Linked DNA regions of Mytilus edulis. The protein of the gene in region 2 purifies or fractionates together with the protein of the main gene of each other region. This does not show direct contact. Links are inferred from orthologs where the notes say so. Each region holds a gene or a part of one and is shown on either strand. Other genes may lie near its edges. The genes, in order: lysosomal aspartic protease-like and transmembrane protein 192-like.

Region 1 (16,262 bases), on a different chromosome or scaffold from region 2:
TTCAATGGAACTCAGCTACGAACAAAATATTGAAATATTCTTGGTACTGCAGTCAGTCAAACATTTATAGTACTCAGTAGCAACATATTTGTCATATGATTAGACGCATCTTGTCCAACAAGTCTACAGTGTCTACAGTGCATATTTATATAAAGTGAAGGGGTGGGGAAACGAAGCGTGCACTCAATTGCTACTACTACTTTTCTGACTGTGTCCAGTGAGTGACCGCTTTCAACACTTTTATGCCATTTATTAATTTGGTTCTCCGTTGAACTGAACTTGAAGAGGGGCCTCGGTGACCGAGTCGAACTATTTCACCATTATTATAGTCTGCCAAAATTTGGGTTCAGAATCACAGTGAGTTGGAATCCCGCATTTTGCGATAAATTGTGCGCTCGACTCAAATCTTTAAATTGACTAGGCCGAGTGTCAGCAAGTTTTCTAATTAAAGGTCAGTGGCCCAGTTCTCTCCGGTCACTCAGATTTCATCCACCAAGAAAATAGCTCAAAAGTGTTGACATTGAATTTGATAACTAATCAAGCACGATTGGTAGTCCTTGATTATTTGATAATGAAGGACTCATATGGCGCGGAATCAGGGTCATAAATATCGATTTTAGTATATCCTAAAATGATTTCAGTATATACTAAATTACATTTTAGCATACCCTAAATTGATTTCAGGATATACTAAAATGATTTTAGCATATACTAAAATCATTTTAGGATACCCTAAAATCAATTTAGCATATACTGAAATATTCAGCTTATACAGAAATATAGGCGCGGAATCAAGGTCATAAATAACGATTTTAGTATACACTTAATTGATTTTAGCATATCCTTAATCCAATTTGCTAATAGTTTTGTTCACCAATGAAAAGATCGCTTTCTGGACGAGTTGGAAAGACAGTCATTGCGGATCTTGCTGAGATGTGGCAAATGTCCTCTCACTTGATTTCATCTCAGTTGTTTATATTTTATTTTTCTAAATATTTTTGCTGGAAATGTATAGATATAATTGATTGTTTAGTTGCAACTGGTACCAATGAATGATACTCTATGATTGTGAGATAAAGAGCGCTTAACAAACCTCCTGTTATCTGATGCAGAGAAACAAACATAAATTTAACAAAAGTTCAAGTTTATTCACTTGTAAAAAAACAGCGTAAACAATCATGCTACCCAGTATTACCTCAAATATAGTATACCATCAGTATTGTCTACTTTATTTTTTTTTACAATACTTAAACAATATCACAATATTGTCCTACCAGTATTGCGATTGCCAAGTACTGGAAATCCACCGTGTATACAGCTGCAGATAGAACAAACATATGGAACTAAAAACAAAATGTCATTTACAGTGAGATCATTATATAGAGAGTAATCCATGGCCTTTTCCATATCGACTCGGGTATCATCCTGAGACCCCCATATCAGCCCGAGACGTAGTAGGTGCTGATATGGGCCAATATGGAAAAGGCCATTTACTAATCTCTTTATCATATACCTCCGACAATTGTTTTATGTAAGGCAAATAAACAAAAAAATTACTAAAACAGTCAAAAACTTTATAAAGATGATCTATAACTGTCAAAGGCCTTTGTCACTTCCTGTAGATCCATATTAGAAAGTACTAAACTTTCATCATCAGTTTAAAAATTGATATCATGAAATTTAAGCATGTTTACTTAGAACTGTTTTTCAATAACAGCTGGTTCTGTACAAACAAATTTAGCACTAGATCCAATACACTGTACATATCGCTATTTGTCCGCCATTACTGAACTTCACAAAAGTTTCCGTAAAATTTTGACGTCATAATAAAATGGCAAAGTTATAAACAAATGGAAGTAACTAGCCCGAGAAGCACTGTTATGGTTTTTTTGCACGAGAGGCCATTGGTATGGGTTATTAGCCCGGGTGGAAAGTTATGGCTTTCCGTTTCCGTTCTTTACACATATGCAAAAGCTATCATATTAATGCTAAGTATATGATAAATGATCATAACAAATGGACAAATATGGCTGTGTTTACACCCAAAATATTATACTCTGAGCACATGCTTACCTGTGAAATTTAAGGTCTGGCATCCTCTAGATATATAAAAAAAAAACTTAATTCATTGATTGTTTTAGAAAGCTTAAATATTTTTTTATTTTGATGGGCAACAAAAATCTAGATAATATTTTGTGCTATAATCTGGATGTTATGCACAGCTAAGGTTTGCATGATTAACTACCTCAGATATAAACTGCACAGTTCAGATGTACTCTAGTCAAAACATTTACTAAATGTTATCATCGGTAAAAGGATATCATTCTTAAATATAAATCAACATGCAGACTTCTTATACGTTCAGGCACAGTCGCTTGAATTTTAGTGATATATGTATGAAAAAAAAATACTGTAATATGTATAATCTAAATTTCAAGCGACTGTGGTTCTGGTATTTCACATCCAATATCTTATGCGTGGTAATATTCTTTACAAAGCACAAAAATGTCGGCATACACCTCAAAAGCCAACCAAACCCTAAAATAGACTTATTCGGAAAGGATATAGTTACGATACTGTTGTCAGGTCATTAAGGATTGCATATTTTGGTATTAATATTGATTCACTCATATTGTTTTTGCATCGGAAATAAACACATTTATTCTAAAACCAGTCAACTGTAATTGGCATGATACGGGTTATGTTCTTCTCATATATTTTATGATGGTATGATACTTAACCCCTAACGGGAGGGATTTTACTTGATTTTCATATGATGAAGACATAATCTTTCAATCAGTTTAATTGAGGTCTACAGGTGGCATGTCAGTAACTGCTACAAGTCCTTTGTTAATTTATGTATCATTGTCATTTTGCTTGGTTTCTTGTGTTGTCTATTCTGACATCGCACTCGGACTACCTTTAAACTGAGTTTTACTGTACGTATTGCTATGTGTTTCTTTAATCTACATTGGATATATATATATAGAGGTATAGGGGGAGGGTTGAAATCTCAAAAAATATGTTTAACCCCGCCGCATTTTCCAGTTGCGCCTGTCTCAATCCAAGAGCCTCTGGTCTTTGTTAATAAGGGCATACGATACAGTTACAGGGGAGGTAATGACGTTGCTAACGTAAAATGTTATTTTCGCGACGTCAAACTATGACATATCGGGAAAAGATGCATTTTTCGACTGATTTTTATCATTCAAACTGATTTAATTTGAAAACGAGTGCATGGACCCCTTTTTTTTAAACGGTAATTTGTTTCATTTTGCAAGGAGATTATGTGACCCAAATTTTATAAAACTGTAAATAGCGCAATTTTTTCAATTTTGATAAACATGCAGCAAAAAATGACGTTTTTTCCCCTGTTCATTAACATTTGATAAATATGAGTTATTTTTGAATAAAAATTGCATAATTTTTAATGATAATTATAAAATACAGAAATTACCGATTATTTAACAAAAAACAATTTGTGTTTATCTTTTAAAACAAAAAAGTTATGTCTCTCTTTCGAAAAAGAAAATACGGCCATAAATCTGAATTTTGAGCAAATATACAAAATTTCGACCTCATTTTACTCAAAAAGTAGCACATGAAGGTATATTTTTTATTACATATTTGATTTAATCAGGTAAGAAATAGCCGATATGCAAATTTTCATCAACTTGTAAATACAGGTTCAAAACTGTATCGTATGCCCTTAAGTCTTGTATGTTTTTTTTTTTAAATTTTAGTTCATTTATATGTTTTGGAGTTTATTGTGACGTCCATTTTCACTAAACTAGAACACAATTTTATTTAGGGGCTAGCTTCGGGTGCGGGATTTTCTCGCTGCGTTGAAGACCCATTGGTTGCCTTCGGCTGTTGTCTGCTCTTTGGTCGGGTTGTTGTCTCTTTGACATATTCCCCATTTCCATTCTCAATCTTATCTAATATCTTGAGGGGCGGATGCAGGATTTTCAAAGGCATATGGGTTTACTAGTAAATTGGAAATACATCAGACTTCGTTTACATGGGACATGTCTTCAGAATGAATAAAGATGAACAATATGGGAAAAGGGGGGGGGGGAGTTAAAGATTGAAAAGTTAAACTTTTTTGTTTGTTTTGTTTACTAAATGCACAATAAATTTATGTACATCTCTTTTCGGTTAATCTTCCTCTTGGCATATTCATTTAACGAGTTAAAAGTACATCAAACGGAACTAAAACTGTAGAAGATGTGAGTTATACGTCAATTAGACAGCAATCAAACGACAAAAAAAACACCTAATAGATATAGGAAGATGTGGTATGAGTGCCCAAGAGACAACTCTCAATCCAAGTCATAATTATAAAAGTAAACCATTATAGGTCAAGGTACGGTCTTCAACACGTAGCCTTGGCTCACACCGAACAGCAAGCTATAAAGTGCCCCAAGTGTAAAACCATTCAAACGGGAAAACCAACGGTCTAATCTATATAAAAAACGAGAAACGAGAAACACTTATGAACCACATAAGCATATCTATAGAGGGCAACATATAGTGTTCAACAATAGACAGGTGTATATATAAACTTAATCCAATATGTTGGTTTTAAAGCTCACTCAGAGCTTATGTTGTAGTATCCTGTTTTTTTTTCTTTAGATTTTGCATCTGTTGAAAAGATAAACTTTTCTAAAACTATTTGAGGATGTACCTACTAGGTGGATTTTTTTTAAATCTACAATTTAAAATTGATACACTAAGTCAAAAGAGCATTAGTAGGGAATCAGAATGTATGATTATTACCCGTGGTTATACACGCCGACACCCGGCTAACCGAGAGATTGGTAGGTTAATCTATATTGAGTATGCGACTATATGGGCGGTTGGTCTGTTAATCGGGTTTGTTATACGTATATATAAAAGTATATCTTTGAAGTTCTTTTATTGACAAAAATCTATATTACATAAAGACAAATATGCCAGTTAGAAAAAGGTTTATATTCGAACAACGAGAATTAACGGCAGTTAGAAGAGGTCATGAAAGTTTTACGATTTCCTATGTATCTTATCAGTCCTCATGAAAATCGTGCTTTAATGTTATTAAGTTTGTTTGTTTTTTTTGATTTTCAACTAAATTTTGAATATCCAACCGACTGCTAGTCATTTTTGCTAGTAGCCGGTTGGATATTGAATATCGAATATCGAATAACGAACCGGCTGCTAACTTCACATACATGATAAATACGCAGACATAAACGAGTGCAAAAGTAACATTCCTTATCGTTTGTTATAAATACTCTTTAATGAATACTGATAAAAATATTTTTGTTTATAACATAAATCAATAATATGAAAACATCATTGATAATATCTTGTGCACACGTACCGAAAAATTGTGTGAACTTGGTCGCATGTGGAAGAATACCTCAAGAACATTTTGCGGCAATCCCACAACAATCGGTAACTCTGCATGGAAGTTTGTCTTTGAGGGGAAATATGAATGCCTACGCATATCCAATCTTTTAGAAATCGAATTTTTACAGAAGAGTGTCCACCATGCACTTTCAATGCACTTTTATAAGAATAGTAGAATAAAATGATGTACCAATGGATGAAAATTATATATATATATATGTTACTGTTATATTAATATAATATATGTCACCAAACCAGTGTATACTGATGTGTATCACTTCAATATAATAGTCTTAAGTTGAGGTTGAATTTCCTGTCATTCATTCATCATCCACGCACGAATTTGTCTCAGAAAAAATATATATCTGTACATTAACCTCAGTTTCAGGTATAGAGATACATTTTATAGATTTTTTTTTCTTAGACATGTGCTTTTGACCATCCACAAGAACTTGCGGTCATCCGATGTTCAGTATTTCAGTACTTTGATTAGTATTTTGAAAAGTCTAATGGAAGTCTAGTATGAAGATTTGAGCTGAAACTTTAACGAATTACAAACTTTCTAGGAATCATTATGTTTCTGTTCTTTTCAATGAAATTTTATTGGTAGCTGTAGATCAGATTAAGCGTTTTGTGAGTTAAAACATATAAATCTCTGAGTACATTTGCATGTGATTAAAAACACTTTACTTTTGTAGAGTATATTTTTTTGTATCGAAAATAAATACATAGTACACAGTACGGACACTATAAGTAAGCAGTCAATATGAAAATAAGGAGATGTAGTATGAGTGCCAATGGATTAACTCTCCACCAAATTAAAGTTTAAATAAAATGAGTGTATAATGAATTAGACAACAATTTGTTGTTTTAAATAAGAGAGTGCGGAACAATAACGAAGTAGTTGATAAGGATTGGAGTCGAAAGCATTTGTTTCAAGCGGGGTTCATCGAGTTTACAACCTCAGTGTCGACAACCTAGTGATTACTGTAGGTATACTTCATAGATCGCTCGGCAAACCAGGCCTCGGAAATTATTTAACTGATTGAAAAAATATATGCCATTGGTATAATTGCCGATGAGACAATTCCATCTCTAAAAGAGAATTTAACAACTATCATAGATCACCGTCCTTCAAAAATGAGCAAAATCGATACGTCACAAAAAGCTTTAAAAGGCCCCAAATAAAAAAAATGTTTAAAACAATTCAAACGAGAAAAGTAACGCGGCCTGATGTATAGAGAATAATACATGAAAAAATCCGTATCATATGTCGTATCATCCCGAGACACCAATATCAGCCCAAGGGCCTTTAGGCCCGAGGGATCATATTGGTCGAGGGTGATACGGCATGTGATACGGATTTTGCCATGTTTTATACGCTTTATCATATATTTCAACAGGAGAGTATTATATTATATAATCTGTTTTCTGATCCATAGCACTGGGTTACCTTCCGTTCTACTTTTGTCTTGTTTTAAAAAGCCTCAAAAGAACTGCTCAATTACTTATCCGAAGCACCTGGGTAACCTGGGTAACCTTACAGTTTGCGTGCTGTTGTTTTAAAAATATTTTGTTTATATTGTATTTTTTATGTGTTTTGTATATTTTATAGTTGCATTTAGTGTGCTCAAAAATATGAAAACTTGACGTAGGGGTGTGATAAAGGGTAGGAGTGTGCTAAAGGGTGGATTAAACAGCAGGCTATTTATCAAATATTTAAAACTACTGTATTTACTACTAAACATATGATAAATTTACATAACAATAAACGGGAAAATAATATGATATATAGAAACAAATGACAGCCAACAGGTTACGTGTTCCTGACTTGGACAGTCACATTCAGAATGTGGCGAAGTTAAACACTTAAAATGCTGGCGCCAAACCCTTCTCTAACAGTGTTGAAACAGTACAACACATACAATATTGTGCCAAAGTTTTCGTAACTTCATTATAAGTCAAAAACTAATCAATATTCTATTAATTAACTGATATTAATGTTATACAAGTATGATGCAAGTAATATTTAAAATTCCACTTTGGTCTCCAGAAGAGTGGTTTAAATATATATTATATTTATTGCCGTTGAGTTGCTGTCTCATTGAAATATACTCAAATCAGGTTTTAATGAAAAAATAATGTTATATTGGAAAGAGGAACGCATTTCAACGTAGATAAATCAAAAATATAATATAAATTCATGTTTGATGTATTCTCTCCGTAAAATAGATGCGTTTCAAAATGACCATAACGCAAAAATAGTGAAGTTGCCTATAATATTATATATATAGTGAACGTCAAATTAGCGATGCTGTGACATTTTTATAGACCAACATGCGACCGCTTTGTTTTGATGATTTTTGCATTGCTCTTTACCTTATAGTTTAAAATATCAAAATGTTCATTTTGCAAAGGGATTTGACATTATGCTGATGTTTTCGAAAAACTAATCTTGTTTTTACTCTTTTTGAAGGTTTTAAACTACATACCCTTAATAATAGTAGACACCCATTCAACGCATCGATATCCGATACTTATCGATAAAAATATAATTATTTTCATTTTTATTTAGAATTTATCATACTGGCTTCATATTTCTGTTCTGAAAATTATAGCACATTAATTTTCGTTGTTTTCTATGGCCAACACCGAAATTACTAACGTAAAAAGTTTGTTAAAGGTTTTGTGACAGGGGACCTTTTGGGATTCATTTACTTAGTATTTGTTTTGTTTAATGTAAAATTAAGATTGCTGTCCGAATGAATGCCGTTCAAATGTTATAGAATAGGAGGCACGTTTGATTTGTACATTAATTACGCCAAAAAAGTGATTATATACAACGAATGAGAAGAAAAAGAAAAACAGTACTTCAAGAATGCAGTTATAATGAAAAAAATAATGACTAACGAATTTACGAACTTTTAAAAATAATGTCCAAATTAGCCATCATCATCATAATACAAAGATCAAATTAATGGAACAAAATCATCTACAGATACCGTACTTTTTTTTCATTCATCAAACTGGTAAACAAATAACTACCGAGAAGAAAATTCCATGCATGGTATTGTACTGACGGGATTAAAAAAACGAATTGATGTTTTCTGTCAATGAAAAAAAATGTGTGGACTTTAACGGTGCTTTTTTGTGGACTTTAGTGTAACTTGTTATTGTGGACTTTAACGGTGTTTTCTTGTGGACTTTAGCGGAGGTCATTTTGTGGACTTTAGCGGAAAGTTTGTGGACTTTAGCGGCGTTGTGGACTTTAGCGGCAAATTGTTGTGGACTTTAGCGGTGTTGTGGATTTTAGAGGAATTGTGGACTTTAACGGTGCCACAACGGTGCAACAGTATCCTTCTAGTAAGAGCATTTTCATGTTGACTTTCTTTGCATTTTATTGAAGGGTGTGTCACTTCAATATAGCGTGATATGGATTGGGCGCTAAAATATGCATGAATTTATTATTAACGTTTTTCAATCAGTCTTAATTTTTGTGTCTGTTCAAAGTACCACGTTCTAAAATCCGACTGAAAGTGTCTTTCTAATACAACACAGGGTACATATAACGTGTTGTCGTTCTCATATGCACATGATATTTGTCACTGGACGTTAAAACCCTAATTCGTCAGCATTATCCAATTGTTTTTTTTTTCTATTACTAATCATATGTTGTTTACAAATCATTCTAAAGAAGTAAATGGAAAGGAGCGAATCTAGCTACATTTGGTTATCTTAAGTTTTAATTCATTTATCGTTTAGTTCCTTTCTACCTACATAAGTGCAAAGGAGAACTGCAGTTGTCCGCTTGTACACTTCTAGCATTTGTCATCAATTTGAGTACATCACAATCCGTTACTGGGGTGTTTCATCTCTGTATTCTTAAAAAAAAAAAAATTTCTCTCTTTTTTAGCAATGCATCACTCTCTACTGTCCTTATCTACAATTCTATATTCTGCGTTTTTATCCAGATTCTCGTGTACACCTTGAGGGTCCGGATTGGATTTTTTGTTTATTTCTGTATTCTTTAAATTGTTATGTCACTTTTCTCTACATTTTATTTATTTTACTCATTATTCTTTATATTTTAGCATCCCAAAATAGTATCCGCAATACACACTGAACTTAAGATTTAAACCAAATACATGTATGAGTAGCTTGTAGTCAGGATAATATTAAAAGATAGAACTTTATGTTTCAACTCAGCGTGCTGGTCTTTTAAAGCTGAATACATTTATACAATATAAACATATAACATACAAATTATTTTCACCTTGCTTCTCAATGCTCTTCAACTTCGTACTTTATTTGGCTTTTTTAACTTTTTTTGGATTCGAGCGTCACTGATGAGTCTTTTGTAGACAAAACGCGCGTATGGCGTATATACTAAATTTAGTCCTGGTATCTATGATGGGTTTATTTACTTGCATATGTATGTCCGTTGCAGCTAAACAATCAATTATATCTATACATTTCCAGCAAAAATATTTAGAAAAATAAAATATAAACAACTGAAAATGAAATCAAGTGAGAGGACATTTGCCACATCTCAGCAAGGTCCGCAGTGACTGTCTTTCCAACTCGTCCAGAAAGCGATCTTTTCATTGGTGAACAAAACTATTAGCAAATTGAATTAAGGATATACTAAAATCAATTAAGTGTATACTAAAATCGTTATTCATGACCTTGATTCCGCGCGCCTATATTTCTGTATAAGCTGAATATTTCAGTATATGCTAAATTGATTTTAGGGTATCCTAAAATGATTTTAGTATATACTAAAATCATTTTAGTATATACTGAATTGACTTTAGGATACCCTAAAATGATTTTAGTATATGCTAAAATCATTTTAGGATATCCTAAAAATCAATTTAGGGTATGCTAAAATGTAATTTAGTATATACTGAAATCATTTTAGGATATACTAAAATCGATATTTATGACCCTGATTCCGCGCCATAGACTCAGTCAGGCTCTGAGCTGTGTGCCTCATTCAATAAAAATCCTGTGTAGCCTAGGAGTTAATAAGAGGGAACACATTTAATTATTGAACACAGGAAACTGCGTTCATTTAACATACTTCATTTTTTAATTGATATAAGACATTTGTGGGGAATGCATGGTCATACATTAGCCGAGACGTAGCTAGACTACTTATCACAGGACCGTATTGCAATCTTTGAAGCGTGACAAGGGACATGACTCAGATAACGCATCACGTGAACATTTTATCACATGATTTGGTTTTTATAAAAGTCCTTGTCAGCCGGTATCTTTTGCATTTACTGGAATCTCACCATGAAGGCATTAAATATTTGTTTGTGCATCCTTCTTGTTACCGTTTGCAGTGCATTACAGAGGTAAGATATCTCAAACTTCGTGCATACTAAAAAAATGTTGTTTTACGCACTTTTTGTTTGTTGTGTGATCATGACATCCGTAAAATTAAAAAAAGTGTAAGACACAGGACTTCCTTTGTATTAATTTTTTGCTTTGTCATGTTAGGTACTATAATTCAAATCGCATTCTGTATGGGAAATTTTGTAAAACTTGATTAACATTCGAATGGTGAAAATAGGGGGGGGGGGGGGGAGTAAAAACACAGGCACTTGAACTCCACTTGTTTCTGTCAATGTGGAGTTTACTATCCACATGGGCACTTGTTTCTGTTAATGGGGACATGTGGATAGTAAACTCCACATTGACAGAAACAAGTGTCTGTGAGTAAAAAATATGAACTTATAAAATAAAGTCTATAGATAAAGTTTAGCACAAGTGTAGTTAGTGACGATGAACCATATATATAGAGGAGAAAACTGATCTCTTGCGTTTGGAAACACTTAGGTAGACTTGGGTAAGTTTCTAACAAAAAGGGTCTGATTGGGGATGAATAAATATTTCTATTGCGCTACCGTAATAAAGTAAAAAAAACAAAAATAATGAACTGCAAGGAAAATTCAGAAAGTCCTTTATAAAGTGGTTTTGATTCCTAAGCTCAAACACATCTCACAAAAGGAAAACAACTGCAATATTCCTACATCAACTCTTATTTTCAGAATCAAATTGCAGAAGTTTAAGACAGTGAGAAGAACTTTAGCAGAAGTTGGCACATCCATAAAAGCTTTAGAATGGAGATATGGCTCAGATCAAATCAGAGGGCCATCTCCTGAACCCCTGGTAGACTATATGGATGTGAGTATTGTTTATAGTCGAAGAAGGAATTGGCATATTTATGAGCTACAGCTAGTGTAGACTGTCCTAGTCTGGAATTAACACAGAATCTGAGAATTGGGAAATTCTTAAACATCTATTGTGCATATCTTTTATAATGTTTAGACAACTTTCTGGATGGGGTTTACAGAAAAGATAATAAAAAGTGAAAAATAAAGAACTTTTAATTAGTTGATAAAATGTAGGGGGGGGGGGGGGGGTTGGAAGGCACATTATATTAATAATACATGGGTGATGGGTATCAGAGCAACTTTTCACACTATAATGCACTATAATTCTCAAATACAATTGTCTGGGTGGCTGGTGCTGACAAAAACTGCCTTCCAACACCCCCATACATTTTTTTCTGGAATAGCCCTTAGATAGGAAATGCCATTTCTTTTCTGTCATTTGACATAAGAATTGAACTTCCTATTTATTTGAAAGAAAAATTTTCTCCAGCAGTAATGAAATTTGAGCACATCCAATCTTTTTTAAAAAGGAGATAAATCTAAAGGCAATATACTAGCTATCAGCACAGTAAAACCTACATGTATATTATTGTTTTCAGGCACAATATTATGGTCCAATCACAATAGGAACACCACCTCAGACATTTAATGTTGTATTTGATACTGGATCATCTAACTTGTGGGTACCATCAAAGAAATGTCATGTCACCGATATCGCTTGTCGTAAGTACATGTATAGTGAAGTTAAGTGAACTCAATGACTTAATGTAATATTCAATTACTTGGAATTACTTAAGGTGGTACCCAATACTTTCACTGAAATTAATTTGGCTCGTTTAATTATAAAAATTAAAATAGATATGAACCAACCGTTTTGTCAGAAAAATTACACTGGTTATATATATCAATTTGATAAACGCCAATTTTGATCATTGAGAAGGTTAATATTCCTTTTACAACACAACGTAATTAAAATGTTTAGCTGAATTTACAGAGTTATCTCCCTGTAGTGTTAGGTACCACTTTAATACATATGATTAATGTTCAAGTACTCTATCAACAATTTCAATGAAGTGTGTTATAAATATAGATTATTTATCGACTCAAGAAAGTTAAATTTAGTGGTGGAAATCTGTTTCTCTACTGATTTCTAGTTGATATGAAGTCATACTTAATCCTTTTTCAAATGCTCTGCTGCAAGATTTGTTCTTTATATATGACCTCATCAGTCATGGTAGCCTTTTTTCCTGGTATCTTAATAGGAATTTTAGAGGCAAGTAAGAACATTTGACGTCATGATCAAATTTTGGCCAATGAAGTACTTATCACTATGGCTAGATTTCAAATATGAACTTAGTACAGATGGGTCCTACTTTTGAAACGAAATGAATGATATCATTATTGGCTTTTCAAAGTCATTGATCCCTAAATTACCAAATTGTTTGAATATTATTTGGTGGATTTTTGATTTTTTTTGTATGGCTATCAACATTACATTTGGAATTGAATGACATTGAATATTTGAAGATTTAAAATCAAGATGGAATGAATAACTATCTTACTCTATACATTTCATATAACATTCACATAACATTTATAAATAGTTTAAAGATGAAAGAAACATTAATTGAATGATTGAAGTCACATTTTAATATCATGACTGAATCATACATAATATTTTCTTTTCCAGTATTGCACCAAAAATATGACAGCACAAAGTCAAGTACTTATGTCAAGAATGGAACTGCCTTTTCTATTAGATATGGAACAGGAAGTTTGACTGGTTTCCTTAGCACTGATTCAGTCACAGTAAGTATCCATATGACAAATTACTAGTAAACAAAATAATAAAATTGAGAATTGAAATGGGGAATATGTCAAAGAGAGAACAAACCTTCCTCCGCAGATGACAACTGAAGGCCTCCAAAGATTTTTGTCTTCCTTCTGTCTCAATGAACAGCATAACAGAATTTTGTGATACTATGAAATTTACTTACTTGATTTACTATTGCATTTCATTTTCCAAAGTAATTTTTGGGGTTTACATAGCCATGACATGGACTTTGTCTTATCGATAAACTACATGTACAGTACACATCTCGCAAAGTGCATAGTCAGAATGGGACACTCTTGGTGTGCATCCACTCTTAAAACAATAGATTAAATCTGATATGAAATTATATGAATTTTGGGAGTGGCATTTAAAATGTTGCTGTGTCTTCTTTTTTTGCATGAATCGATAACATTTTAAAAGAAAACTTTTTTCGCTATTCTTTATAGATTGGGAGCATCACTGTGAAAGGTCAGACTTTTGCTGAAGCAGTTACCCAACCAGGAATTACATTCGTTGCAGCTAAATTTGACGGTATTTTAGGAATGGCCTATGAGAGAATTTCCGTAGATGGTGTTACTCCAGTTTTCTATAACATGGTTAAACAGAATTTGGTGCCAGCACCAATTTTTTCATTTTACTTAGACAGGTATGAATTACATTTGCATACTGAAGCATCACTAGTTTTCAAGAGTAGAACATAGTCACCACTAAATATGATAAATATTTTTATGTATGTGAATAATTGATCTTTAAGAATTGAATTTGTGAATGTTTTGCTATTGATAATCTTTGATTCCTCTGGAAATTTGTCAATAAAAATTGAGAATGGAAATGGGGAATGTGCCAAAGAGACAACAACCCGACCATAGAAAAAAACAACAGCAGAAGGTCACTAACAGGTCTTCAATGTAGCGAGAAATCTCCATTATCAGATTGAGTCATGAGTGGCTACAAGAAAAGGTTCAATCAGGTTCACAGTTATAATAAGTATACTCTAATCCTACAAATTGACTAAATTGAGAGTGTATTTGATTGTAGATATGATTTTGGAAATTCATTAGTTTCTGAATTTACAGTATTTTTGTCTAAAAAGGTAAAGAAGCATACATGTATGGTAAACAGAAATGAAAGCACATAATATTTAACTTATAACAGAACACTATGATATATGTGAAGCAATTGGTGTGTAGGACGGTTTTAATAGCCAGACATTTAACAGATTTCTGAAATTGAAGTAATACCATTGATAATCTTCTAATATTTGTGCTGATGAGGCTTAAAGCAATCACCAGAAACTATTAAACTAAAAATAAATAGGCCTCATTATAAAAAAAAACACCATCAGATTTCCCAGTCCACTATAAACTTCTATTGTTTATAATTTTTCTAGAGATCCCACTGCAAAAGAAGGTGGAGAGTTACTCCTTGGAGGCAGTGACCCAAAGTTATACAAAGGAAACTTTACATATGTTCCAGTCACCACTCAGGCATACTGGGAATTCAAAATGGACGGGTAATCTATTTATAATGATACATGTTCTTGAAAAAAAATGAAAATGATATACTGTGTATTCTGTGTATTCATTATTGTTCCCTGGATATTAAATTTTGGTGGATTTTGTGGGTAATTGTAAACCAATGAATTTCTATAGTCTTGTATACAAATGTTGGCATAATTAAACACTCAAATATCCAAAGAATTTTTCCCAAATACATGAAAATGTGTACCCTTGAGGATGAATGAAACTGTTAAGGCCAAATAAAAATATATGTGTGGTTCCAGTAACCCTACCGTCCCTACTTTTTCGGCTTAAAAAAAAGCCCACCCTAAAGATTTTATTTTAAGCACTGTTAAAGTCAGAATGTTGCTCCCATAGACTCAATGTAAAAAAAAAACATAAAATAAAAAAAAATCCCTACCTACCTACCCTAACTTTTTTTCAGATGTAACTGGAACCACACATACTTTTTTATTTGGCCTAACTTTATTATTTTGTAATAGGGAATTTGTTTTAAAAGTTTACCTAAATCTGATTAATTATAAATCCTAATATACAGGATATTGATCAAGATGAATAAATTGATAACCCATTAAAAGTCCATTATGCTGCACTTCAGCTTTTGCCCTTGACAAAAGGTTATTACATTTGTCATTTGAAATCAAGCCATAGATTATGTATGATAGATAACAAGTAAAGATGGTTTTATCAGTGGAAAGTAGAATTACTGATGTTGTTCAAGGTCAATGCTCCAATTTTCTAATCAATCCAATTATTGACTTTTCATCCTTTATAATTATTATCTAATCAAATGTTTGTTTTACAGTCCTACAAAATTAACTTGTATTTTTGATAGGACAAAGTAGATGATATATTTGATTTTACTTATACAGTCAGCCTTGATTACACTTGAAAATAGTTCATATTCCAAAGTTTAACATCTAAAGAGTTATCCATTGTTCTATACATTTGGTTTTAATAAAAGACTTGTGGAAATATGTAAATGAGTAAAGACATAGAATTTGTTTGTTGGTGCAGAATCAAAATCATCCAATAATTGTAGTGATTTGTTATCAACAAGATTATAATATGTATACCACAGCTCCTAATTTTATAAAGGATATTCTTATTATTGTATTTAATTTTCATTTTTATGTACTAGAGCACAATGAAACTACAAATGTACCAATACTGAATATTCTTTTTGAAATCTAAAAGTATGAGTTAAACTATACTAAAATCCTTAAGAATCTCTGAAACTATGAATGCTTATAATTATTGTTGATAAAAAAACAGATTGTATTTTCATGTATTGAAACTACTAACATGACTAAAAAAAGGAAATTTTGGTAT
Region 2 (15,761 bases):
TGAGGGCTTCAACATTACCATTCTGTTATTGGTTAAAATTAAAGTTGACAGGTTAGCATTAAAGAGTATATACATGCTTCATTCCTTGTTAAAGAGCTGTGCAAAAAAAATATTATGTTTATTTCTCCTGTCATGCCTGTCAATTGTATAAAGACAGAAAGGCTTTTTCAAAGAAAGTAATGTTAAATACCCTATAAGCTTAGCGGGAATGGATACATTTTAGGTAACTTTTCAGTAATCATAAAATGAGAATTCTTCACCAAGAGTCTTAATATAAATTAGGGAGTTTATTTTTATGGTAAAAATTGAAATTTGACTAAAAGGATCAATATTTAGCTCAAAGCAATTATGGTTTCATCCCAAAACAAATTTTGCAAACATTATTCATGCAAAATATGAAAAATTTCCACAATGTGGATCCTTTTAAGGGAAGAGCAAAAAGCCAAAAATATGTACAGCAAAGAAAGGACTGATGACAAAAGTAAAAGCAATAAATAAAGTGAAGTATAAAATGCAGGATACTGGTGCATGTTATAGAAGAAAAAACATATAAACTTAGGAAATTTGAAAAAGGGTCATAAATATAAAACGTCTGCTAAAATTGCTTTCATACATATATAAAAAAAAGTCAATGCATCCAAATATTACTGTGGTGAATTTGAAAAAATAAATATTCAGCAAAACATGTGACAGATTGCTTCTATTTCAGGACATTAAGCAAAAAACAATCGACCAATCTTCCATTTGACATAATATAGACTTGTAATATTTCAGTCAAATAGTATGAAATAACCAAGTTGTTGATATAATGTCTTTAGACAATAATTTCAGTAGGACCAGTCAAGTATGGGCACCTGGTAGCAACTAGCTGTATGGACCAGCATACACAGTAGCGCTGAAATGGACCTACATATATCTTAGAACTGTATATCCTCTTAAGTATTCACTCTAAATGTTTGCCAACAGGCAATATGCACGTGTGGATGTGTCTATGTATTTATCCTATAACTATATGAAACTCCATAAAAGGGGAGGGGTGGGGGGGCTCCTAAATTTCAGGAAATGTGATTTATAACCAGGACTATCAATATCAAGTTCTATTGTCTAATTGTAAAACTATGTCATAAATACTTTACCTAAAACCAATCTCTGAAGTACCACTGTTCTGCATGAAACTAGAGATCATTTCATCTTGAGCGACATCTGGGGACATCAATAAACTATTAAACTTTACGGTTTTTACTGAAAAAAATGAATGAAACTAGAGATTATTTCATCTTGGGCAATATCAGATGACATCAGTAAACTATTGAACTTTACTGTTTCTACTGAAAAAAAATTAATGAAATATTTACTAAAATGCACTTTTCACAACTACAATGTACATTATAGGTCTCACTACTTTCTTAATCTGTTGGATATATTTTGTATTCTAGCACATTAAGATGCAGAGGTGGATTCAGTCATTTTTAAAAGAGAGGGGGCTCAAATCAGGATAAAGAGAGGGGGTGCAAATTACAAATGTATAATGCAATGGTATCTCAATAGTCTTCAATCTTTTCAAAGTTTTCTATTAAAAAATGATAGATTATCTCCACATTATCATTCTCATGTTAAGAATTATCTCCCCTTAATCTCTATCAACTCTTCTACAAATGTAACAAAAAATTGTAACGAAAAGGTCAAGTATACATGGTATAAGAAATACAAATTAAGCTTTTAATTTAACAAATTTTAATTAGTAGTTTGATACCTATTCAAATGAGTCAGTATTGAGGCATGTTGGATTTTGAACATAACTCAATGCCTGCAAATTATATCATGTTAATATGACAGTTGCTTTCTTTTCTTTTGATGAGTTTGAGCTTTTGATTTTGACATTTGTTGATGGACTTTGAATTTTTCTTGCAATGTATTTTTGTTAGTGTACATTTTGAAAAGATAATAAAAATGATAAAGAACTTAATCAAATTATGTTGCAATAAAAAACAAACAAATTTAAACCAAGTTTAAAACAGATTTTTCCAGACATTATTTTTGACAAAATTTAAAATGTTTATGAATATTGTTGATAACATTTACCAAGATAAATCATCAGCACTGACACAGCTAGCACAGCCTCCAAGGCAATCACTATTTCTATATATAGATCGGTGTGGGTTCCATTCAAATCTTGTAAAATCTTCAGAACTACTAACAAGGCAGCATTACCTGTTAAATATCAATCAATAGTAATATAATATAATAGATTAAAAATAACTGACTTTGTCTCAGACAAAAACAGACTCAAAGTTACTCCATCAAGACAGAACATGTACAGAATCAAAATAATTAAATGTATGTCCCATAGAATAAACGTTAATGACAACTAGGTTACTATTTGTGATTTAAGGAAATTTATAGGATTCTAGGATATCTTGGTGCTTCCTACCAATAAATGCATTTTGTTGTTGGTCCATATTGGTCTATGTTTGATTTTAATAAATTGACTTGTGTTAAATTAGTTTTCTTGTTTGTTCATGCCATGGCCTTTAATAGCTGACATATGGATTTTCTCTCATTGGTGACTGCTGTACAGGGACCTATTATCACTCACATCCATGTACATTTGTAATTTGAAGTATTGTGGATAGTTGCCTTATTAGCAATCATACCACATCTTTTTATTTTTATGGAATATAATAATAACAAATACATAGTGTACTGCGAATTCATTTATTTTCATGGATTAAGGAAAACTTGCATGTTTCATGGACATTTGATTTCGTGGTTTTGCCAAATCTACATACAAGCATATAATTTTTTTTTTATTTCTTGAACATTTAATTTCGTGGTTCACTTGTACCCACAAAATCCACAAAAAATTGGTATCAGAATAATTATGAATTCACTGTACACAATTTAAATTTCCATTGATGAATCCATGCACCAATTTTTTTTTCTCTTAGGATATCCACTACAATATCCTAACAAAATAATTTCACTCACCTGCTGAATTTGCTAGCAAAGGTATTTTACGTAAATGTCTCGTTCTTCGATAAAATTCCAGATATCCACACATTCTGTGTCTGTAATGGTGGTATCTCAAATATCGATCAAACCCAAGCAGGACAAACCAGAGTCCTCCATGGACATAACAGGCTACGGATATTTCATCAATATGTGATCCTAAATGTTTACCCTCATGTTTTGTAGCATTTCTATCAGGTTGTAATACTGCTATATGTGGTAGCACAAAGGTAGCTATGACCAGACCAGTCTGAAAAATAAATAAAAAGTAAAAATATAGAAAAAAAAGAGGAAAATGGCTGTCCAAGAATTTAAATAACAATTTGTAAAATGAAGGATCAAATGCTATATACTTAGAATTTTCCAACAAAAAAACCCACTTCAAGTTACAACCAGATGCTCCGCAGGGCGTAGCTTTATACGACCGCAGAGGTTGAACCCTGAACGGTTAGGGCAAGTATGGACACAACATTCAAGCTGGATTCAGCTCTAAATTTGGATTGTGATTAAATAGTTGACACAGCATAGGTTTCTGACACAGAATGAATGTGTTCTAATGAACTTAAAATTTTTGTTTCTCTTAGAGCAATTCACTATGCTGTTGAATATTAATCCTCTCAAAAAAATGTTTGAAGAAATTTTCTTTTTTATTTATGAAATTTCAAATGAGAAAAATTGAACCCAATTTTTTTAATCACATCCCCCTTTCCCTTATTCCAAAACTAATCTCAATTAAAATTTCTAATGGAGTTTGCAACAATAACTACTCATTTAAATACATCATAAAATATTAAGATGTAAAAAAACTGCTTGTTATCACTGAATGGTAAAGATTATTTTAATTTATCAGTTGGTAGTAAAAAGTGAATATACATTGTATATTGTATATAACAAAGATTTAAGTTGATTCTGGACAAAGAAAGATAACTCCAATTAAAAAAAAATCTTGCTATTGCACAATATTTTGCAATTAGATATTTCTTGCTTACTATTCTGGACAAAGAAAGATAACTCTAATTAAAAAAAATTTGATATTTCACAATATTGTGCAATTAGATATTTCTTGCCATTGCGCAATACTGTGCAATTGAAAAGACTTGCTATTACACAATACTTAATATAATAATTTTAGATCCTGATTTGGACCAACTTGAAAACTGGGCCCATAATAAAAAATCTAAGTACATTTTTGGATTCAGCATATCAAAGAACTTCAAGATTTCAATTTTTGTTAAAATCAGACTAAGTTTAATTTTGGACCCTTTGGACTTTAGTGTAGACCAATTTGAAAACAGGACCAAAAATGAAGAATCTACATACACAATTAGATTTGGAATATCAAAGAACCCCATTTATTCAATTTTTGATGAAATCAAACAAAGTTTAATTTTGGACCCCGATTTGGACCAACTTGAAAACTGGGCCAATAATCAAGAATCTAAGTACATTTTTAGATTCAGCATATCAAAGAACCTAACTGATTCATTTTTTGTCAAAATCAAACTAAGTTTAATTTTGGACCCTTTGGACCTTAATGTAGACCAATTTGAAAACGGGACCAAAAGTTAAGAATCTACATACACAGTCATGACAGTTAGATTCAGCATATCAAAGAACCCCAATTATTCAATTTTGATGAAATCAAACAAAAGTTTAATTTTGGACCCTTTGGGCCCCTTATTATGTTGGGACCAAAACTCCCAAAATCAAACCCAACCTTTCTTTTATGGTCATAGACCTTGTGTTTAAATTTCATAGATTTCTATTTACTTATACTAACGTTATGGTGCGAAAACCAAGAAAAATGCTTATTTGGGTCCCTTTTTGGCCCCTAATTCCTAAACTGTTGGGACCTAAACTCCCAAAATCAATACCAACCTTCCTTTTGTAGTCATTAACATTGTGTTTAAATTTCATTGATTTCTATTTACTTAAACTAATGTTATTGTGCGAAAACCAAGAATAATGCTTATTTGGGCCCTTTTTTGGCCCCTAATTCCTAAACTGTTGAGACCAAAACTCCCAAAATCAATCCCAACCGTTCTTTTGTGGTCATAAACCTTGTGTCAAAATTTCATAGATTTCTATTAACTTAAACTAAAGTTATAGTGCGAAAACCAAGAAAATGCTTATTTGGGCCCTTTTTGGCCCCTAATTCCTAAAATGTTGGGACCAAAACTCCCAAAATCAATACCAACCTTCCTTTTGTGGTCATAAACCTTGTGTTAAAATTTCATAGATTTCCATTCACTTTTACTAAAGTTAGAGTGCGAAAACTAAAAGTATTCGGACGCCGGACGACGACGCAGACGCCAACGTGATAGCAATATACGACGAAAATTTTTTCAAAATTTGCGGTCGTATAAAAAGTAGTGCTGACAAACTAGGTCATCTACAAGTAAGTAAAAGGGAAGACAAAACTTTGTGTATAAAACAAATCAACAGTTTTAAAAAGTTGACATAAGAAATTTTCCATATCAATAAAACCATGTCTGCACAAAATACAAAAGTATTGATCAGGAAATGAACCATTGAAAAATTTGGGGGAAAACTCTTTTGTTCAATTGCTGAATATTTAAAGTTGAAACTTACAAAGAGTAGTATTTCCACTACAATAGCCCAAACTATGTGAATTTTTCTAAAAGGGGGATCCAATTCAGCACTTAAAGCAGGACTTTCTGATAGTAAGTCTTCTGTATCTTTGTTCTGTCCTGATCCATCCTCATTGAAAAAATAGCCCTGTAATAAACAATGATCGCATTTTTAAGTACATGTATTTGCATTGACAGTATTATTTCTGCCACCAGATATAGCTGCTTTAATCATAGACCAGTCAGATGCTCAATTGGTCATACATGTACTAATCAACAATCATGAAGCTATATTATTAATAAAAACTTTCAGTACATTTTTAGTTATATATTTCATTTAGGGTTAAAACTTATGTTTATATAATTGTAGATATAGTAGAAATGGTAAATGCATCTGTTTTGTATAATGATATTTGTAAGATCTTTTACACTTACATGTAACTTGTAAGGGCAATAACTCCTCTAAAAAAGTTTTTGATGTAAATGGACAACAGGTGAATCACAACATTCAGTTTGGTTAAAATTTCTTAATCTTTTACACACATGTTTTTTAGTTTTCAAAATAATCAGAAAAAATGAAAAAAAAAAAATGGTAGAATCGACAATTGAGGGCATTTTAACTCCAATAAGGAATTGTTCAACCGTTTAAACTTTTGTGGACAGCAAGGTAGATTTCAAATTAAAAATGCTCAAATTCTTGAACTTTAATTGACTGACAAACTGGTCCAAGTAGCTTTTAATTTGATCTGTGTTGTCTTTATACTCCTCCAAGTTGTCTTTAAAGTAGGGATTTGGTCTGCATTATACAATACTTAGTCTGAGATTACTCTGACTCCAATGGCTGTTTTGCCAGTCAAGCTGGGGCCGTGGGACGTCAGAGCTTGTCTGGCAAAACAGCTGTTGGACGTCGGAATACATTATACTAAGCCTACATGTGATGTTTTTGTCTATTAAACATGTTTATATAACTAATTAGTCATGTTAATTCTGTATTTGTATAAAAAGAGGGTCTGAACCAACCCAAGATCTAATGTGTAGTGAGTGAACATATGTAGGATGCGAATGTGTTGTCAATTTGATACTTGTACCACAGGGATGTTGTGTGATGACTTTTCATCTATGACACCTGTTTACACCACAACTCTACTTTAAGGTTCATGTACATGTGGACCCTTTGGCTAAAATGGCCGTATTTTCACCATGTTCACCTCAAAATTTACTCTGATTACAGACAAACCTGCGCTGATTCTGTAAAAATTTTAAGTCATAGCATGCCCCAGATAAATAAATTTCAAATATGTTTAATGTTTTAGAAAAATAAAAACTTACCAGGATTTTGCAGTGCACTTTTTTTTCATTCCTCCAGAAAGTGCCAAAATAAACTAAGTTGGGAAACAGGTTTGAGAACTTCCCCACATGTAATAATTGGGGTGAGCTGTATTGATTGACACGAACAATAGATACCTGATAATAATTGGTGATTTAAACTGTGTACCTGGGTGGACCATATCAAGGGAAACTCAACTGTTAGTTAATTTTATCATCTTCTGCAGGGACGAAAAAAAGTGCAAGGCAAAATCCGGTTAATTTATGAATTTTCTAAATCATACAATGCATTTGAATTCTATTTATCTAGAGCATGCTATGCCTTAAAACGTTTCCAGATGCACAGTTTTGTCTGTAGTGTCAGTCTGTTAACTCAGAGTAAATCTTGAGAAAATACGGTAATTTTAGGCAAATGGTACACATAAACCTTAAGTTCATAAACATGTGCACCCAGTACTTTTTTTACATTACGGCTGAACCTTGATACATAAAACGAATCTACTTCCGTATTATTGTGTACAATTCCTTGGCCTTATGCTTATAATGCCAGTCAACTGTCAACTGATCAAATTTTTTTAAAATGTCATAATTGACGAATGAGAGTGCAGACTGCAGTGAAAGTCATACCCCTGTGTGTCTCGATTCGTTAGATAAGCTGACCATTATTTCATCAGGAAAGTTTTAACTGTCACGTCGCAAAATCCAGTAAAAGATTTCATTAATATTTATCCAAAATAAAATAAAAATCGCTAGACCATTCTCCCCTCCATCGAAAAAGATTTCACTTCCGGTCACTGGGACACACTTTTGCGATTTCGCATAGCTTTTTCTGTCAGTTCACAAAGCCTGAACTACTTGATAATTACGGCATATTTCTATTTTTTATTGTCAGTGTAGGTATTCTATTAACCGTTTTCATTCAAAGAGGCTTGACTACAGGTCAGAGATATGTGTAGCCCTTTTGAAAGAACAGTCGCCCCATACCAACTCGTCCCTTTTAAAAATAACACTGGAGACAAACTCGCCCCTCTTTCTACTTACTCGGCCCACATTCTACCAACTCCTCCTACAATTGAATAAGCATTCTGTGCGTATTGATAGCAAGTTAGCCAATACATAGTCCCCATACCAGATAAAAATCCAGTGCATTGGAACAAAATTCTAACTTGATCTTTTTAAACTTGTCATGATAAAATAATACACCAAATATAAAATGTATATCTTCAAGCATCATGAGGAAATAAAGTTGAAAACTGATTTGGCAGACTGACAAATAGACAGAGGGACAGACAGATAGCAAACCTAAATTCTCCTTCAACTTTTTCAGTAGGGGACTAAAAATGCTAAAAAGAACCTAAATTTTGGCCTGCCAATCTGCCCTACTCATGATGTTGATGGATGGATGCTTTACATGAAAAGGTCTCAGATAGATCCCTATGAATAAAGGTCTGTTATCCCACTGAATTAAGATTTGCCAACTCTTCCCAATAATAAAAGATTTTAAAAGATGTTTATGATGATGTTAGCAGATATTACAAGAACATAATAATGTTCAGTTTCGGGAATCAGTTGACTCTTCCATTGATAATAATCCTTTGTGAAAAAGTTTGAAGGTGTTGAGCAATGTTGAGGCGAATGACTTCTTGTTTTTTAATTTCCAAGGATGACCTCTTTTAATCTTTTAAATTTATACAGGTCGAGTGAGTTTGAAATTGAAGTTTCATTTGTGGTTTATTTTGCTAATTGTTGAAAGTTTGAGTATGTGAAAATGCAGTGAATTTGTAAAAAAAAAAAACGGTATGTATATATGTTCCAGACCGTATGAATATTTGGACCGTACGCGTACGGTCTGGACCGTATGCGTACTTTTTCGAAAAGTACGCGTACGGTCTGACTAATATCAAGGAGTTGGTCAATTGTACTAGATACAAATACATATAACAGATTAACATAACTTAACTCTTAAATAAATAGAAAAAAATCAATTGTAATTGAAATAAAAACTTTACATTTTAACTATTTAAAAAATTCACGCTAATTAAATCTGTAAATCTCTAGTATTTAGCATGTAGATCAGTAATACATAATACACTAATTGAATTATGACAATTATTCCCACTGAAATTGAATGCGTATAATGTGGGAGGACAATTGCTTTAGAATATTTAGCAACTTTTCAAAAAAATGCTAATCGAAAGGAACATGCATGAACTGAAAAAATGTAAATATGAAAAATATCGTTTTGGTAGCGAGTGTCACCTTTGGCGAGAGTTTCAAAATAAGATTCAGATATACAATTCAACAAATATCTAATTTAAATTGTTAGGTAATTCATTTTATCCATCTTATGTAATAATAACAATTTGTAAAACTAAAAATAAAGATTGTGATAAATGTAACCCATATTATCCAATAACATGTATGGTCAGCTAATACTGGACCATACGCGTATACTCATACAGTCCGACCGTACAAGTATACGTATATGGTCCGGACCGTACGCCGTACGCGTACGGTCCAAATACTCATATGGTCTGGAACATATACATGTATAATATGGTCCAGTTCTTAGTTGTTATTATTGTGTATGTTGGATATGGGGAACCGTACATTTGCGAAAATGACATGTTTTCACTAGACCCTTTTATCCTGGATGTGTTTGCCAATATTTAGTCTGTACTCACTCATATATTTACCTTATTTTATATTATAATACATTTCAGGCTATATAGATAGGAAAGAAAATGAGTGACTCTGAAAATGAAGAGGACTCAGTGGTGAAGAGACATAAAAAAGAAAAGAAGGAATTGCAGGCTAAAATACAACAGTTAAAGCATAGTGTGTCAAAGGGAGATAAAAAGAAGAAAAAGGAAATTGCAGAACAGATAACAAAGTTAGAAAAAGAACTGACAGAAAAACATGAAACAGAACTTAAAGAATTCAAAGACAAAACAAACCAGGAGGTGACAAATTAATTTAAGAATAAATCAATTTAATCAAATATCTTCTCCTTTTTGGCATTTGGTTGGTACATTTGTAGTTTTATCATTGGAAGTTTATTCTTATCTTATTTTTAACAGACTGGAAGGTGAATTCAATAGCTTGATGCTAGTATGTGATCCTTGAATATTGCAACTGAATATACATGTAACTGGAGTAGGTATTATATTCAAATGACAGACTTTATTTCATAGACATTGCTTGTTATCTTATCCAACATTTTCAAATCAACATGCCAAACTACCATGAGCACTCTGAAAAGCTGTACATACTTATTCTGTACATACTCATTCAAACGCTGACACTTATTCTTTCAAAAAATACATTTGTATATATATATGTACGTTTACTTAATTTTATGTTGAAAAAGAAAAAGTAAATGCTAATACACTGAACACAATTGTTATTGTTAATGTCAAAATCCTAGTCATTTATGCAGATTTTTCCAAAGTACATTTGTATATACAGCAGAAGCTGTAATTGATTTACAATATTATAAGCAATAACAAATCAACCAATTATACTTTAATGTTTGAAGAATGAAATTCTCCATAGTCCTTTTAATAGATTAAAAAAAAACCAGTTAACTTTGAATTTCTGACTTACAAGACATTTTATTTTAGTTGAAATTTGTATAACATGTACCTTACGATAGTCATCTTCATTGACATTTACTGTTATATATTCAACCATGATTGAATGCATATATTTAAGGTAACAGACAGACTTAGTTCTCTGGAAACAAATGATAACATGGGTGACAGTGAGGCTGCTGGTGGTGATGTAGAAACCAGAGAGGACTCAAAAGAAAAGAAAGTATCAAAGGCTATGAAAAGACGAGAGAAACAAGCAACAAAAAATAAGGAGAGAGAGGAAAGAATTAAAGAACAGGAACTGCTAAATTTAACTGGTGCAAGACATATAGAATTTGAAAAAATCAAATCAATATTAAAAACTAAAAATTTGCAAATATTTGAGATACCATCTGATGGAAATTGTTTATATACTGCCATTAGTCATCAAGTTCCACATGAGACATATGAAACACTCAGAAGGAAGACAGCACAGTATATGAGAGGTATGTATTTATTTCCACAACATTCAAGATACACAAGGCACATTTCAAAGATGTTTCAAGGAAACATTCTGGGGTCCCAGTACTGTCACTCCCATAAAAAAATAATTAAAAGATGCTTGCACCTATTTAAATGTAGACATGTACAGATGTATAGCAATACATAACTAAAAAGTTTATACATTATATACATGTACTGTTAATGCATAAAATGTCATAGTCATAGATGACTAATTTTTTGCACTTCATTGATAAAAAAATTAAAAACAAAAAGGTAATTACACATCAATCATGAATCTGCTGAAATTAAATGCTTTACATTACAGTTATTCAGTGTATAATTCAATTGTTATATGTTGATCTTGTACATGTATTTATATATAGAACCATTACTTAGTGTCTATTTGAACTAATTTAATTGACTTATAGGGATATATTTAAGACTTTGTATGCCTCACCTCAGCAGAAGGACATTCAGTGTTATCCTGTTCATCTGTCTGTTTGTCCCAAATTAATTTCAGTTTAAAGTTTTAAACATTAACCATGTTAACCAAATGTTATGAAACTTATACACAATGCTTAAGACCACAAAACACAGATCAAGTTCAAAATTGGGTTGTGTCACTTTTACCAACACCTTTCTTGAATAATGTGCCTTTATAACATAATATATAAGCAGAGTATGGGACACATTCTCCATTATCTTAATGAAAACACAAAATTAATAAAAGTTGATATATAAAGATTAAGATGCTTGATCTAATTACAGACAATCCAGATGAATTCCTACCATTTCTTACCAAGGAAAATGGTGATTCTTACAATGACGAAGACTTTGAAACATTTCTACTGAAAACTGCTGAGACAGCTGAATGGGGAGGTCAATTAGAGGTCAAGGCTATGTCAAGTACATTACATCATCCTATAGAAATAATTCAAGGCGAAGGCCCACAAATCAAAATAGGAGAAGAATATGATTCAGAATCTTTAACAGTTTGCTATCATAGACATGCATTTGGACTAGGTGAACATTATAATTCAGTTGAAACTTATGTACCTGATGAAGAGGCATTTTCATGATAATAATTTTATTTAGGTATATAAAATATTATTCAGAATAATCAGAAGGCCATTCAAAAATGAATTTTAATATTAAACAGTCATTTTGGTCTTAACATCATCTGAAAAAAATTAACACAATGTACAAAAAATCTTTTAAGGTTGTTAATTTTCAATTTATGACAGCAGATAAGTTTAAAAATAGATTGAAAGACTGAAACTAACATTGAAATCAGTGTTTTAATTAAAACTGTTGTGTTCAAAATTATGGTAGTTTCAGAGTAAAATGTGTTTACTGGTGTGCAACTAGATATAAAAAATATGATGCATGTTTTTTCTATTCTACATAACTGAGTACAAATCTATATATCTTAATCAATTAAATTAAGTTAATGTTTGGCTATTAAAAGACATTAAAATATTCACTGCATGTCTCACTATACAAGACATTTATAAAAATATGGAGTATACATGTATGGTAGAGCTGTAAAACTGAAATTGCTGAGTAAAATATTTTAACAGTATTATTGTGATTTGTGTGTGCTAATTTTTGAAATATAGAATGCATTGTACAATGTTGTATTTTCTACAGTTGTCATACTTAGTATATGTCTTTTTGATACATTGATATAATTGATGTTGCATTTTAAAGTTATCTAGATACAATTAAAAGCAAATTTCAAAATATCACAAAACAATAAACAGGATATTTATTATTTAATTATCACTAGACTTCATAATTTTTTTGGAGGTAGTTGTAATTCCTTGAATACAGTGAGACCTGTATAAGTCAAAGGCACCTAGCTATTTGACTTATCAGAAGCTAAGAGTTACATCACATTTGTGTTTTACATTACAATTCATCTGAATTCAAATATCATAATAGATGTGGTATGAGTGCCAATGAGACAACTCTCCATCTAAGTCACAATTTATAAAAATGAACTATTAAAGGTCTAGATACAGTCTTCAACACGGAGCCTAGGCTCACACCGAAACAGCAAGCTATTAGTGGACACATTCCCCATTTATTTAATATCATATTAAAACATATCAAAACCATTTATTCCATAAAAATGATAGTTTTAAAACAATGCACTTCTGATACTAAATAGTCCCCTACCGATGAGTCCAAGGGGACTTTCGGTTTGCACTCTGTCTGTCAGTCAGTCCTGCAAATCAGTTTTCCAGATTTTTAATTTTTGGAAAACAACGATATCTCAAACCTTTGTATTAAAGCCAGTATCAGTATCGACAATTTATTCACATGTCATACAGATATAGTCTTGGGTCCTGGCTAATCTTGTCAGCCTTACTACGAGCAGCTAGATATTGTGCTGGGATACCAGGCTAATACAGATACAGTTGTAGGTTTGTTTGTTATTTTATGTAGTTTACACAATGACAAGTTATAGATCAAGTTAGAATTTTGTTCCATTACAATGAAATTTTAACCGGTAGGGGACTATGTATTGCCTTGCAATACTCACAGAATGCTTGTTATTAATATTTTTATGCCCCCACAGTAGCAGAGGGGCATTAAATTTTACCAATGTACATTCGTCCATATGTCTGTTCATATTAAAATTGGTTACTGTTCCATGACTATAGTTTGCCTCAATTAAATGTTATTAAACTTATGCTTATTACCACAAAACATAGATCAAGTTTGAATTTTGATGGCATCACTTTTACCGTTCTAGAGTTATGCCCTTTTATAAATGGAAAAATTGCTGATTTTTTCATTTCCATTCTCTTAACTTAATCTGCCTTAACCAAATGTTATGAAAGTTTTACTCAATGCATATTACTAGATCAAGTAAAAAATTTAATGGTGTCACTATTATTGTTCCAGAGTTATGTCCCTTTACATATATAGACAAATTGCTGAGGTTTTTTGTTTCTGTTCTTAAATTAAGTTTGCATCTACCAAATGTTATAAAACCTGTGACACAATGCTTGTTGCCACAAAACTTAGATTAAGTACAAATTTGGATAGCATCACTTTAACTGTTCTTCAGTTATGTCCTTATATAACATTATGTGCAAGTGGGGGAATCATCTGTGTTTCATGAACACATTCCCCATTTATTTCATATCATATTAAATCATTTAGGTTCAGTCTGTGGATTTTCAAGTATAAGTATCAATAACATTAATGCTGTCAAACCTTCATGGAATTGTGGATTTTCAAGTATTAGGTACCAATAACATTAACGCTGTCAAACCTTCATGGAATTTTATGAAATTTTGACAGAAACTTGATATTAATAACCAAAATACAGAATACAAAGAGAAATTTTGAAATATATTTATTTTCATTTTTCTGTATTTTACTTGTAAATGGTCTTGAGTTTTTTTTTATACTACCACAAAAAATTTGCGTTCGTATAATCCAATCATGTAGCCATCTGATGAAACGTTTGGTTTCCAGACAATAACTTTAGTGTAATTGAATGGATCGCTATGAAATTTTACCAATTCCACATTATTATTATTATGACATAAGGAAGGTTAAGGTGATTTTGGGGGTGGTACCAATAGTTCAGGAATCAGGGTCCAAAAACAAACCTTTTTGCAGTTTTTGGACCATAACTTGTGTGTAAGTGTATGGATCTCTCTGAAATTGTACCACAAAGAGCCATATCCCAAAGGGAAGGCTGGGATTTCGTTTGGAAGTATTTGCCCTACAAAGGGAAGACATGTTTCTTAGAGTTACCAGACAATAACTTGTGGATCCATTTTAAGACTATGAGAATGAAGAATTATGTCAAAACATATCTTTGGTGTCACCATTTTATGAAAGATATAAAACTGGCAGGTTTAATTTAGGAAGAAAATACAAAATAAGGAAAACTTTGTTACAATTAAAAGATAAGAATCACACTATGATATTATTGGAATATGCGGAAATAATTAAGAGTTAACAAACATTAGCAACCAAAGGCATTTTATAACTTTCTTGTCAGTGGCTGAACATCCTTTACTGTCCTGTTTCATCCCAAGAAACACAAAAAACTTAAAAGAGGCAGAATGAATGAAGGGTCAAGAAGTGAAGTTGGTGGATGCTTGTCTAGCAGATCTGAAAGAGTTGGGATACAAAATGGTATACTAGTCGTTATCAAACGTTTTAAACGTGCATATTTTGACTGATTTCCCTGAAGTAGACAAGAGAAGAAATATTTCTTGACCTGCATATTTCGAATTCAGGATATTTACAAATTAGTGAGACCTTCTGAAATGTATTAGGACCGCCACAATTCGATTTCAGTACATTTTAGGATAAATTCCAATCAAATTATTGAGCCGGGGTCATGGAATCAAATTGTGTAGGTCCTAAAATACCTCTGGATACCATGAAAACGAACCATTAAGGTCCTCTATACACCGGTATTCAAGAGGTTCTCAATAATTGATGGTTCTCTTGAATTTCGAATGATGGAGGTTCTGAAATAACATCGACCGTAATATATACACAAAAAAGATAACAAAAAGAATAGTGTTATTATATTTCAAACCCTAAATTGCTTATATTTAAAAACGAGATATGGGCTGCCATTAAAACCAAATTTAAAAGGGCTAAAAAGATAAATCACAAAAAAACACTGACAATACTCCTGACTTGTGTAACTTTTTTTGTTAATGATAATCAACTTAACCCTTCCTTTTATAAATATCAATGACCTAACAAACGGTACATA

Evidence for each region.
Region 1: the proteins of transmembrane protein 192-like (region 2) and lysosomal aspartic protease-like purify together in Homo sapiens (affinity purification with western blotting; 3 studies listed by BioGRID, with this or other methods). This does not show direct contact. The link is inferred for Mytilus edulis from reciprocal best matches to the Homo sapiens genes TMEM192 and CTSD.

What each region holds. Positions count from the first base shown.
Region 1 is NC_092350.1:72,008,065-72,024,326, reverse strand, and holds the start of lysosomal aspartic protease-like, read left to right. Parts: upstream 1-10,362; 5' UTR 10,363-10,692; coding exon 10,693-10,754; intron 10,755-11,450; coding exon 11,451-11,586; intron 11,587-12,175; coding exon 12,176-12,299; intron 12,300-13,266; coding exon 13,267-13,385; intron 13,386-13,856; coding exon 13,857-14,056; intron 14,057-14,800; coding exon 14,801-14,923; intron 14,924-16,262. UniProt on the Homo sapiens protein: Acid protease active in intracellular protein breakdown. Plays a role in APP processing following cleavage and activation by ADAM30 which leads to APP degradation.
Region 2 is NC_092348.1:90,364,600-90,380,360, reverse strand, and holds the start of transmembrane protein 192-like, read right to left. Parts: upstream 7,692-15,761; 5' UTR 7,590-7,691; coding exon 7,554-7,589; intron 5,749-7,553; coding exon 5,602-5,748; intron 3,260-5,601; coding exon 2,989-3,259; intron 2,212-2,988; coding exon 2,083-2,211; intron 1,243-2,082; coding exon 1,137-1,242; intron 1-1,136. Other genes in the region: deubiquitinase OTUD6B-like, read left to right, coding at 9,671-9,889, 10,641-11,004, 11,771-12,081.